Caenorhabditis elegans: one gene and its partner. The protein of the gene in region 1 purifies or fractionates together with the protein of each later gene. This does not show direct contact. Each region holds a gene or a part of one and is shown in the gene's direction. Other genes may lie near its edges.

Evidence for each region. Proteins that work in one complex are often made in the same cells at the same time.
Region 2: the proteins of C02B10.4 (region 1) and dnc-6 fractionate together in Caenorhabditis elegans (co-fractionation; one large-scale study listed by BioGRID). This does not show direct contact.

Annotation. Positions count from the first base shown.
Region 1 is NC_003282.8:5,087,595-5,094,241, forward strand, and holds C02B10.4 (RRM domain-containing protein), read left to right. Parts: upstream 1-3,991; 5' UTR 3,992-4,004; coding exon 4,005-4,051; intron 4,052-4,118; coding exon 4,119-4,389; intron 4,390-4,446; coding exon 4,447-4,668; intron 4,669-4,884; coding exon 4,885-4,980; 3' UTR 4,981-5,213; downstream 5,214-6,647. Other genes in the region: ivd-1 (Isovaleryl-CoA dehydrogenase, mitochondrial), read right to left, coding at 1-294, 348-659, 1,106-1,240; snpn-1 (SNAPIN protein homolog), read right to left, coding at 2,984-3,100, 3,146-3,244, 3,287-3,439; EGF-like domain-containing protein C02B10.3, read right to left, coding at 5,913-5,991, 6,453-6,647.
Region 2 is NC_003279.8:3,165,142-3,171,788, forward strand, and holds dnc-6 (Dynactin subunit 6), read left to right. Parts: upstream 1-3,051; 5' UTR 3,052-3,070; coding exon 3,071-3,084; intron 3,085-3,953; coding exon 3,954-4,127; intron 4,128-4,864; coding exon 4,865-5,111; intron 5,112-5,874; coding exon 5,875-5,982; 3' UTR 5,983-6,089; downstream 6,090-6,647. Other genes in the region: Y54E10A.6 (B3/B4 tRNA-binding domain-containing protein), read left to right, coding at 1-276, 968-1,189, 2,080-2,292. UniProt on the Caenorhabditis elegans protein: Part of the dynactin complex that activates the molecular motor dynein for ultra-processive transport along microtubules.

The DNA of each region.
Region 1 (6,647 bases):
CTCACACGTGTTCGATCCACGCATTCCGAGTTTATCGAGCTTCGGGGATTGCGAGAATCCTGGAGTATTCTTCTCAACGAGGAAGCAAGTGATTCCGTGTTGATGCTTCGATGGATCAGTTTTGGCGTAGACGACAAGAACATCAGCGTCTGGTCCATTGGTAATCCAGAATTTGGTTCCATTCAATACATACTTGTCTCCCTTCTTCTCAGCACGCAGCTTCATGCTAACGACGTCAGATCCAGCTTGAGCCTCCGACATGGCAAGAGCTCCCATGTGCTCTCCGGAAATGAGCTGAAACGTTTTCTCTATAATCTAATTAGTTTACTAATTTTTTCGGTAATTACCTTTGGGAGATACTTCTTTCTCTGCTCTTCAGATCCATTTCTCACAATTTGGTTGATACAAAGATTTGAATGAGCTCCGTAGGAAAGAGCAATTCCACCAGCAGCACGCGATAACTCTTCCATTGCAATTACATGAGAGAAATAATTCATTCCAGATCCACCATACTCAGCTGGCGCAGTGATTCCAAGTAGTCCCTGGTCTCCAAGCTTCTTCCAGAATGGTCTCAGCTGATCCCATCCGTTGTCCTTGTCAATCTTGTCAGCATACGGGGCGAGCTCCTTGTCGGCGAATTGACGGATGGATTGACGTAGCTGAAAATTAGGGATCAGAAATTGAAAACAAAATAATCCATCAGATTATATATTTAATTGGCAATTTTCAAAATGTCCTAATGCACCATGTTGTTCCAACATTCAAAAATAGTGAAAAAAAACACAAAAACTCACTCGATTTATCTGAAAATAACGTTATTTTTGGCTGAAACATTGGGTAAAGTGCTCAAAAATTGCCGATTGTCGGAAAACAAAGCTCGATAATTCGATAATAAGCGAATTTCAGGCTATTTTTGACCACACTTTCTCAATGTTCCAGGTGAAAAGTATAATATTTTCAGATTAATCAAGTTATTGGCTATTTATATTCTTGCATTAATTTTTAATGAAAAATGTTGGAGCACAATAGGAAAATTGTGGAATTACCGCTCGCCCTGGTTAATTTCAAGTAAAAATTATAATTTAAATATTTTATAAAAACTCACAGCAATCTCCTCATCGTTAAGCCCAAACATAGAATCATCAATAGGATATGCTGAAAATTGCCGAACTGCTTGGGACTGAAGAGCCCGTCCTCCAGCGGCACATTTTGCAAATAGCTTCGATGCCAAAGCGGACATTTTCACCAAGAAGTCGGGAGACGGAAGGCTCTGAAGATTTGAAGAAAATGAAAAGATCGAAAAGAGATGAAAATTGAAGAGAAAACGGTTATCTCTAGGCGAAGATCTTCTACTCGTTTAGTAAAAGGAAAACTCCCATTTTTGCCCTTTTCTCATTAAGTTTTTATTTTGTAGAGAAGAAAGCAGGCTAAAGAGAGGAGAGACAAATGAAGTAAAATAGAGTTAGAAATAGTAAAAAAAGAGGAAAAAGAACAGAAGGAGGAGCCACGAGGATGACTGTTTGTCAATGTTGGAGCAGGAGCAACACGTGGAGCTTGAGCAGCGAAAGAGTAAGTAATAAACTGAGAGAAGTGAACGAAAAAGTCACCAACACACACGAGGTGTCTCGTTTCTTGACGTGAAGGGTGATCAGTGATCTAATGAAGGTTCGATCACTGATAGATTTTCAAGCACACTGTATTTAAGTCACAAATTTCGATCAATTGGGGCGTTTAAATGATTTCTGGGCTCCATTGATATTCAAATCGTGAGAAACTGTGAGATTTGGTGATTTTTTATTTATTTTCGCCTTAGTTTGAGACTTGTTAATTTAATTTGATTTTTTGCTGTTAGTTTGCATGATGGATGATCATTGAAATTCCCGAAATCGTTAGAATCCTCAATTTACAGAACCTTTTAAAAATAAACTAATAAACTTTAGTCCGGAGCTGTCTAGACATTTTTTTGATATGGTAATTTTAACAATAGCTGATCGGTGACCTGATAATACAAAACGCAATATAACACATATTTATATTTCAATACTTTTCATATGAAAACCAAAATTCGTATTGTTGTCTGCTCTTGGGTGCTGGTGTAAAGCGATGACGCACAATGATTGCAAAAAATATTGTTTGAAAAATGAAGGAAGTTGGCTTCAGAGAGAATAATTGAAGAGAAAAGGGCGAAAATCGAAAAGAATTGTTGGAAAAGCTGGATTTTATTCAAAATGAGTTATTAAACTACGGTAGACGAAAACACTAAATTTTACGATAAATTGCGGATTTTGCAACTCAAGAGACCCGAAGAACTCGGGGGATGTCCAATTGGGGGGATTACCAACTCGGGGGATTGGCCCCGCCCACAGAACCGTGGCTTGCAATACGCCCATTTCTGCAACTGCCGCACGGTTTCGAAACTGTATTTTTCTCAATAGAGCGAGAATTAACAAGAAAAATACAGTTTCAAAACCGTGCGGCAGTTGCAGAAATGGGCGTATTGCAAGCCACGGTTCTGTGGGCGGGGCCAATCCCCCGAGTTGGTAATCCCCCCAATTGGACATCCCCCGAGTTCTTCGGGTCTCCATTTCAATTTTCGGCAAAAATTTTCCGCAACAGTTTCGAGTTTTCCGACAAAGTTTATATTGTGATTATCAAAGTTTCTTATCACAAAAGTGCAAAACTTTCGATTGATAAGATTATATGAAAATAGACAAACAGCTGCCGAAAAGAAATAGGAAAAGTTTGCCGCATCAGACAGGGTTTAGTGTTCAAATTGGAGAAAGTTAATCAACACACAAAAAACTCGTTTATGTTATTGTTTTAAGTAGAAAAATGGCAAAAACAATGACTAGAAGCGGATGGTGAGTGGAATATTCATACATTCAAATGGGGAAAATGGTGTGATTTTGGAGAAAAATTGTTAGGTGATAAGTGAATTTTCAGAGACGCGAGAGGGGCGAAGGTCATATTCTTCTTGATATTTCTAGTTTTCTGGCTGAACTGGCGGCTCTTGTTCTTTAATTGAGTTCTTCTTTTTATATGTTTCCCGAGCAATCTGCCGCTGGAGTTTTGTGAGACGTTCGAGGAGATCGTCGAGTTTCTGGAATTACTAAAAATAAAATAACTTTAAAAGCAATATGTCTACCTGATGTGTATTATTTACTCGAATTGTAGAATCATTTAGTTTTCCGACGTAGGGGAGCAAGTCCACAGGCTGCTTGTATTCGCTCAGGTCTCGAAGGTACTGAAAATTAAATTAAATTAATACCAATAAAGCTTCGAAAACCTCTGCCATTGTTTCACAATCTGAATTTAGTTTCTTTTGAGACAACTGAGTCGCTCGAATCTGTTGCTCAAGCTTTGTAATCGAAGTGGAAAGAGTTCCAAGGAGAAGATCGCCGGAATTAATGGACACTTCGCCTCCAGCAGTTGACGACATCATTTTAGCTGTAAGAAAGAAGAAATATAATGAAACTCGAAAAATATAGAAAAGTCAGGGAAAACAGAGCAAGCGGCAAATAAAGTAGCAACGAGCGGGCGGAAAGCGGATTAAAATGGAAATGTTCACTCCGACGTGACAATGAAGGTAGAAAAGAACGATAGATGACGCATTTGAATATTTTCTGCAATATATACCATTAAAAAATAATGAAGGATTTCGCTAAAATAGACATTTGCAATCGGAAGTTTATTGAGAAACAATTCGGGAAAAAATTCGATAATTAACGGAAAGGGTACGGTGTGCAATTGTGTGCAAACACCTCGACGGAAAAATGCACCAAGCGTTTTATTCGAATTTTGGACCATTTAGATTTTCCGATTTCTGCTCAATAATGAGCTCATTCTTCGATAGAACGTTTCCAGTTTACTCGTTTTCTTTCTATTTCAGTTAAATATTTCTTCGTTTTGTTTTTATCATGCGTTTCACACGTTTTCTCTTCGATATTATATGGAAAAATGACTAATTACCACAAACTTGTGTTTTTTACAGAAAACGATCAAATATGTACGCCGACGAAGTTGATAAGGATAGACGCACTTTCAAAAAGAAGTAAGTTTTTGTTTTAATTAATTATTTCTTCCTTGTCTCAAAATCGGCAGCCAATTACGTTTTTCAGCTTTTCTTCAGCTCGAGGATCAGGAATCGATGGTAAATGGAAACGCGACATGTTCCAGACAGCAAATCGATCTCCAAAGCAAAATTTCACGACCAAGAGGCGAGCACAGACAAACTTTGTCACTAAAGCCGGTGCCGCGGCGGCAGGACTTGCCACTAGGAACATTTCAACAGCATCAATCCGTGGAAGAACTGCGCCGGCTGTTGTCAGAGAAATTCATACTGGACCATCGACTCTTATCATAAAGAACTTGGCAACCACTGTCACACAAGTGCGTATACTTTTTAATTAAACTCTCGAACCATGTTCCACCAAATACAAATTTCAGGAAGATCTTGAAGAGCTCTTCGAACAATACGAGCCAGAGCTCGTCCAGCTTCACTACGGCCCAACAGGAGAGAGTAATGGATGCGCTGATCTTATTGTCCCTCACGCACAAGTCGCTATTATTCAAAAAGCACTGGAAGGTGTTCTGTTGGACGGAGAGCCGATTGAAGTTCTCGAAGCAAACCCACCGAAGCAGGTTTCTGTGTTCGATCGGATCAAGAAGGTAGGATTAATTAATCATATTCAACCATTTTCTAGTCCCTTTATGCTACTTTCGAAGCCTAGTTGCAATCGAAACCCGAGGAACTGATAAGTATAAAAATAGCTCTGATATCAATCAAAATTATCGCTTTAAAAAAATATACGTTCTTCTGACAAGCGATTAATATCCGTCAGGCATCCAGTATTCTTTCTTTTTACAAAATTAAAATATTTTCAGGTTTCACGAGGAAACGATTTCAAAGCAAAGAACATGCGCGTCGTTGTCAAGTCAAAAGGAGGATTCCAGAAGAGAGGAGCGCGTGGAGATTTCTAGAGAAAATCTAGAGGCCATGATCTATCTGTAATCGTGTTTATAACCAATCCAAAATTCCATTCTCGTCTCCACTTTTTATTTATTTTTATTCCATTTCTCAAGTTTTGTTGTTTTACTGCTCATCTAGAGCATTCCATTTGACTCTTCCTTTCTCGTTTTTTCTCAACTTTGTACTGAATCATTTTCTGTCTCCGTTCGTCATAACTTTCCAGATAATAAACCAGATTTTACACAGAAACTTGATTTATTAAATATTAATAATGATTGTGACATTGTGGAAAAAAAGAAAGAAAGCAGCGATTGGGGTTGAATTGAGAGAAAGTCTAGAAAAAAGGAAGATTTTTGTGTTTTTATGTGAGAATCAAAGTAATGCATTACACGACTAGAGGCAGTGCTTAAATATATTGAAAATAATATATTTTTAAACTAAATTTTAGATTTTTTAATTGATTTTTTTGGGAAAAATTGACATAAAAAGAGAGAAAACACCGTTTTGTGGGGGAGAATAATTCGGAGAAAAAGCGAGTTTTGGTGAGAGGGAATTTGAATTTTCGAGAGGAAAATTTAATGAAAATCTGGAAATAATCAATAAACTGAGAATAATAAAGCATTTTAAAAAATGTTTATGCAGAAAAGTTTGCAAGGGCGCCGCACGCTTTTTTCTTTATTTTTTGAAAATCATTTTCAGCTAAAACCATAGATTCGAAAATTGATTGCCAAAGTTTTGAGAAGGATTTCAAGAAAAATAATAGAAAATTCACAAAAAAAAAAGTTAGAAAAAGTGTGCGGCACGTTTGCGAAAATTTTGGCAAAAGGGCGGGGCCTGATCCTCGAGACAACTCTCCAACAGTTTTATTATTCTCAGTGTAGTTTATAGCAGATTACAAAAAATTTCCCTCGAACTGGTCCCTCCTCGTCAACGAAAAATGTATCTAATAGTTGAACTTGTTGACGCAGAGCAGGATGATGGCGAACAGAGCAGCCGGTATGAAGGAGGAACACGTGGAACACCTGCAAAATGGAAAAGAATGAATAAGGGTGTAATTAGGTGGCGGAGCCATGAGAACACACAATGAGCAAGGTACTTCCGGAAGTGAGAGAGTGAAGTGAGGAGGTGGCTAATTACTTATCGACAGATTGTTTCTCTCTATTCAAGGGTCTCGAACGGAAATTATTTTTCCCTTTGAGAGTGTGGGAAAATTTATTTTGAGTTATGTAACTTACGGAAAAATATAAAGAACAAATTAATGTGATCAAAAACTCCAATAAACCAATAAAACTCCTTTGTAAAATTTTAAAAAAAATCAATAAATGGGCGTGGCCTAATTTTTGGCACTCCTTGGATAATTTTAGTTAATTTTAAATTCAATGTTGACGGGTATTGTTTCAGAGAAAACTTATCAGTTTTTGATTTTTTGAAATATTATTGGATACGCTCTTCTTGGTTACTAAAATGTTGAAATGCAACTTACGTGACATGTCCCTTCTGACATCTTTTATCACAAAGATCTCCATAATATCCATCCGGACATTTACACTTTCCATCGATGAGTTGTCCATTGTTCAAGCATGACTTGATGACGTCACAGCTGGCTCCAGAATAATGATTTCCACAGATGCAGTGATCTCCGTTGTTACGATAACGGTGTTGTTGAGTTGAAATAGTC
Region 2 (6,647 bases), on another chromosome or scaffold:
CCAGACGCCCCACTCACAGTCCGTACTGGAATTGAGAATTTGACAGTTCGTAGGCATCCCAGTGTCTCTGAAATCCGACCATATCTTGTTTGCTGTGTCATCAATAATGTTGATCTCAATGGAGGAGACTCGTTCAAGAAATTCATTGCTCTTCAAACGAAAATGCACGCGTCGGCTCTCTGTGAGAATCGAACTCTTTCGGCTATTGGAACGCATCGGCTCGATTCTTTTCAGCTTCCACTTTGTTATATGGCTCTTCCGAAGGATGAACTATATGTACGATTTAAAAAAGTGAAAATTGAAAAAAAAAACATAAAATTTGAGAGAAATTTCCGATTTTTTTTCAAAGAAAATTGAAAATTTTCAGATTTTTTTCGAAAAATGTTCGAATAAAAAATGTTTGAAATTCGAAAATTTTATACTTTTTTTTCCAGAGAAAACCCACAAATGTTATCTGAAAAAATTGAAAATTTCCGATTTTTTCAGGAAAAATTGAGAAAAAAATGTTTTACATTTTTTAAAATGTTTAAAACTAAAATTTTCGATTTTTTTTCAGAGAAAAAACACTTTTTAAATTGTTTCTGAAAAAATCGAAAATTTCCGTTTTTCCCTGTAAAAATTGAAAAATGTTCGATTTTTTGAAGAGAAATTTAAATTTTCTTTTCTTTTTTTTAAGAGAAAACCGAGAAAATAATACTTTTTTTTGATTTTTTAAACAGCAAAAACAAAAATGTTTCGATTTTCTCAAAAAATTAGGAAAAATGACAAAAGTAAAACTATTTTTAGAAAAATCTTTTTTTAAGCTGAAATTTTGAAAATCAAAAAAAAAACCTGTTAAAACCGGCAATTTTAGCAAAAATTTTTAAAGAAAATTAAAAAAATTTGTTTCAAAAAATTAGCAAAAATGAGCAAAAACTAATTTTTCCCCACTGCTTCCTCATTTTCCAAAAAAAAAAACCATTTCCAGATCCGTGCATTAAACAAAAAATCGAGTGTAAGTGCATCTGAACTGCTGGACAGTCTTCTTCGTGACGCTGAGCTGGCCAGAAAACGGAGCAAGAGAAGTACAGTTGATCCATTGCACAAGTACTTGCATATAGTAAAGGATGAGAATATTCTTGCGTGTCTTGTAGACTCTCAACAAATTGTTATTAGCCTGCCACCGATAACCAACTCGGATTGCACAAAGGTTCATTATTATGGAAAATTTTGAACAGTTTTAGTAAAAATGTTTTTGAAAAATCTTATTTTTTCGAAAATTTGCTTCAAAAATTAAGAAGAAAGAGCTTCATTTTACACATAATTTGTCAATTTTTAGAAAATTTTCCCCGTTGAGGTCAGTTAAAGATTTTTAGCAAACTTAGAAAAATTATGAAACAACGGAAAAAATGAAAAAAAAAAAAAAAAAAACACAGAAAATTTTAACTAATGCGTATTGGGCAATATATTTACCGCGCAAAATATCTCGTAGCGAAAACTACAGTAGTTCTTTAAATGACTACTGTAGGTCGATTTACGGGCTTCGCTTTTTGAAATGAGTTTCAGTTCGAATTGTGGCCTTTTCTAATTTTCGTCCAATTTTTCTTCTTTTTTTTTATATTTTCAACAATTAATTACAAAAAAACGATTCAAAATCGCTTTTCCACTGCTTTTCTTGTTGATTTTTCAATAAAGTTTCAATTTCACTGGTCTTTTTCTCTTTTTTCGAATTGGATAGCATTTTCATTCGAAAAAAAGAAAAACACAAGAAAAACTCAAACTTTATTGAAAAATTAACAAGAAAAACAGTGTAAAGCGATTTTGACTCTTTTTTTGTAATTTATTGATGAAAATTTAAAAAAAAAGAAGAAAAATTGGACGAAAATTAAAACCGCTGCCACAATTCGAACAGAAACTCATTTCAAAAAGCGAAGCCCGTAAATCGACCTACAGTAGTCAATTAAAGAATTACTGTAGTTTTCGCAACGAGATATTTTGCGCGTCAAATATGTTGTGCAATACGCATTTTCTCAGAATTTTGTGATATAGTAATAAAAATTAAAAATTTCTAGTATTTAAAATTGGAAACAAAAATTTCAGCTAACTGTGGATACCACGAGCATCTGGGTAGAAGTATCTTCGAAACAATCACTGGAAGCATGTAAAAAGACAATGGATGAACTGATTCTCTCAAGTCGTCAGATATTCCCAACTCTTTCAATTGATCAAGTCAGAGTTGTCGACAGTGATACACTTGTTTCAATTTATCCCGACAAAAATGACCTTCCAGGAGTCTCCCGGATATCTAATTAAAAATTTGACAAAAAAATAGTCTTAAATTCAGAAAATCCCCGAAAGAAAAATGAAAAATCAGAGTTTTTGACAAAAATGAGCGCTGCGACCAATCAGCGATTTGCTCCGCCCACTTTTTGACCAATCAGGATTTTCGGCGCAATTCTACTGGTTGTTCCAACATTTTTCATTGAAAATTAGTGTCAAAATATGGAAATTTACTATCAAAATGTATAAATCGATCTTTGAATTTTGCAAAAATTTTTGTCGCACAGAAATTGAGGCGGAGCTTGCTTTCGCAACACTGCCGCACGGGCAACAATTTTTGCAAAATTCAAAGATCGATTTATACATTTTGATAGTAAATTTCCATATCTTGACACTAATTTTCAATGAAAAATGTTGGAACAACCAGTAGAATTGCGCCGAAAATCCTGATTGGTTGAAAAGTGGGCGGAGCGAATCGCTGATTGGTCACAGTGCTCAATTTTGCCGAAAAGTCGGTTTTTTTTGGAATTTTTGAGTTTTTTTTTTTTGGATTTTTTTCCTTCCTTTTCACCTAATTATTTTGTTTTTGTTGTTACCATGTTTCTTGTTGTTTCTCCCCGATTTCCCCCGCTGACACTAGAATAAAAGTATCGTTTTTGTCGTGGGAAATGACTATTTCCTGTCTCTCGCTCTCTTTTTTGTCTCCAATTGGTTTTTTTTTGAATATAAAACCATGGAATATTTGTGGCGAGAAATTGTGCAATCTGTCGAGAGAAGTAATGCAATTTTCAGAAAGAAACGGATTTTAGAAATGACTGAAACTAGGTGAGTTGGAAAAAAATTAATTTTTTAAATTTAAAAGTGGAAAATTTTAGATTTTTCTTCAAAACAATTGTTTTTTTTTTGAAAAGTTCCAGAATTTTCTGGAAAACAAATTCTGAAATTTTTTAAAGAATTTCAGGTAAAAATCGAAATTTTTCGATTTTTTTAGAGTGTCTAGTTTTAAAATTGAAATTTCAAATTTTTTTAGAGTGTCTAGTTTTAAAATTGAAATTTCAAATTTTTTTATCTCAAAAAAAAAAATTGGATTTTTTTTAAATTGCAACAGAAATTTCCAGAATTTTCCAGTAAAAAACTTTAGAAAATCTGGAATTCCAAGAAAAGGAACACAGTTTTTTTATTAAAAATTTTTTTTGAAATTCTGGAATTTTTGGAACTTTTAACAAAAAATTAGAAAATCGAATTATTTTTTTTTCATTTTTTTTTAAATTAAAACCAAAAAAGAAAAAAAAAGCTTTTTTTTTCTCGTTAGAAAAGTTTCAAAAAACGTAATTTCTGAAAATTTGTACAATTTTTTTGGAAAATTCGGATTTTTTTGATGTAAAAAAAAATTTCCAGAATTTGTTGAAAAAAAAAGAAAAAAGAGATGTTTTTAGGCATTTCAGAATAAAAAAATCCAAAATTTTCCACTTTCTTGTCAGCAAATCGAAAAAAAATCCAAATTTTTTTTTAGAAAATCGAATTTTGAAATTAAAATTAGAATTTTTTAAAATTAAAAATAATAAAAAATCCAAATTTTCGATTTTTTTTAGAAAATCGAATTTTAAAATTAAAATTTCAATTTTTTAAAAATTAAATCGTTAAAAATCGAAAGAAAAAAAATTAAAAATCGAAAAAAATTGCAATTTTTTCAGCACAGTATCCATCGCCAGTAGTGCAATCGTCTGCGTCGAAGCGGATATAAAAGGAGAAGTTATAATTAAAGAAGGCTGCGTCGTCCATCCATTTGTAGTGTTCGACGCCACAAAAGGCCCAATTTATGTTGGAGAAAATAATATTTTTGAAGAATACGCAGTTATTCGGAATAAGTATGTTCAAAACATATGATACAGGAATCGCCAAATTGCCGGTTTACCGATTTGCCGGAAAAAAACGGCAGTTTGCCGGAATTTTAAATTTAATTTTTCTGGCAATCCGCCAGTTTGCCGGGATTGAACACTTCCTGCAAATTCGATAAATCGGCAATCTGCTGGAATGGAAAATTTCCGGCAAATCAGCAAGTTGCCGGAATTTAAAATTTAATTTTTCCGGCAAACCTACTTGTTGCCGGAATTTAAAATTTCCGGCATGCGGAAAATCGGCAATATGCCGAAAATAACAATTTCCGGCAAACTGGCAATTTGGCGGAATTCAAAATGTAATTTTTCCGGCAAATCGGCAGTTTGCCGGAATTATAAATTTAATTTTTTCCGGCAAACCACCAATTTGCCGGGATTGAAAATTTCCGGCAAAGCTGATATCCGGCATGCGGAAAATCGGCATATTGCCGGAATTGAAATTTCCGGAAAACCGGCAATTTGGCAGAATTTAAAATTTAATTTTTCCGGCAAACCGGCAATTTGCCGAAAATAAAAATTTCCGGCAAATCGGCAAATTGCCGGAATTGAAAATTTACGGCGAACCGACATATTGCCGGAATCGAAATTTGAAATTTCCGGCAAATCGGTAAACCGGCAAGGTTTTTTCCGGCAAATTCGGCAAGAATCTCCATTTCAACAGAAAAATTTTTAGGCAATGTTTGAGAAAAAAAACGATTTTTTTCCAGCAGCGACGGTCAACCAATGATAATCGGTGACTGGAACATCTTTCAAGTCCACTCGAAATCCAGTGCAAAATACGTTGGAAGCCGGAATGTGATTGGTGTGCATGCGGTGCTCGAAGACGGTTGCTCCGTTTCAGATGACTGTAGCGTTGGAGCCAAGTGTACAGTGTTTTCCCATCAAAATCTGGAACCTTCTGTGTCTGTTTATGCAGCCACGAATTTGAGTAGAACGACGAAAACGCCGAATATGGTACGGGAAATGCTGCTTTTTTTTCGCAAAAAGCGGCGCCGCACAGAAATAGAGGCGGAGCTTAATTTTGCAACCATGCGGCACAGTTTTTCTTTCTTTTTTTCACCCATTTCCCACAGTTTTCATGTTTAATTGTTTTTTATATGAAAAAAATTGAATAAAACAGGTAAAATTGGAAATTTTTTGAAATGAAGTGAAAAACAGTGCTGCATGGTTGCGAATTTTCGCTCCGCCTCTTTTTCTGTGCGGCGCCGCTGCTTTTTGTGCAAAATTCACGGATCAAGTGTCAGGGGTGGGCGGTAAATGATTTTTCAGGAAAATCGGCAAACCGGTAATTTGCCGGAAGTGAAATTGTCTGGCAAGTCGGCAAACCGGCAAATAGCCGGAATTCGCCGGAAATAAATTTTTCCGACAAACCGACAAATCGCCGGAAATTAAGTTTTCCGGAAAACCAACAAATTGGTGGAAATGAAATTTTCCGGCAAACCGCTAATTTGCCGAATTTGAAAATTTCCGGCAAATCGGCAAATCGCCGGAAATTAAATTTTCCGGCAAATAGCCGGAATTTTCCGGAAATAAATTTTTCCGACAAATCGGCAATTCGCCGGAAATTAAGTTTTTCGGCAAACCGGCAAATTGCCGGAAATTAAATTTTCCGGCAAACCGGCAAATTGGCGGAAATGAAATTTTCCAGCAAATCAGAAAACCGGCAATTTGTTACCTATTCTAAATGAAAGTAAACCTAAAAATATGGAATTTTCAGACATCGCCCCACCAAATTGAATTCCTGCGTAAAATCCTACCATCATATCATCATTTGTACGGGAAGAAGAAGGCCGTCGCTACTGCTTCTGCTTCTGCTGCACAATAACCTGCTTTTGGTTCAACCTATCTCGCATTTTAACTGCAATTATTTATGTCGGATATTTTTTTGTCCCCTATTTCTCACAAAATATAAATAAAATTCATGATTATTTTGTTCTAGGAGCACGTTCAGCTGAAATCATAAAACAATTAGCAACAAAAAAATAAGCAGCAAATAATGGAGGTAACTCTGCGAAACATCGTGTCGGAAGTTCCGACTCGGAACGTCCTAACTCCGATCTAGGACGTAGAAATTTTCCCTTTTTTTTTATTTAAAAAATTAAGCCATATAACAATAAAAATCAGAGAAATCGTTTTGGATTGGAGAAAAGATGAGAAAGAAAACAACTATTTTTCGAGGAACATCTCAAAGTTTATCCAATTATTAAAATTTTGGTTATGCCAACAGAAACATTTTCATGTAAGGATTGTGTCGTCTTCATAAAATTTGTCGGCTTTCTTCTCAGAAATTGATTGAACATTTTCAAAATGCCAGCAATTGGGTCCTTTACTTTTTTATCTTTTACTCAGGTGAACGGCCAGAGTCACTAAATTTGGTGAACGGTCAGAGTCACTAAATTTGGTGAACGGCCAGAGTCACTATTTTTGGGGAACGGCCAGAGTCACTATTTTTGGGGAACGGCCAGAGTCACTATTTTTGGTGAACGGCCA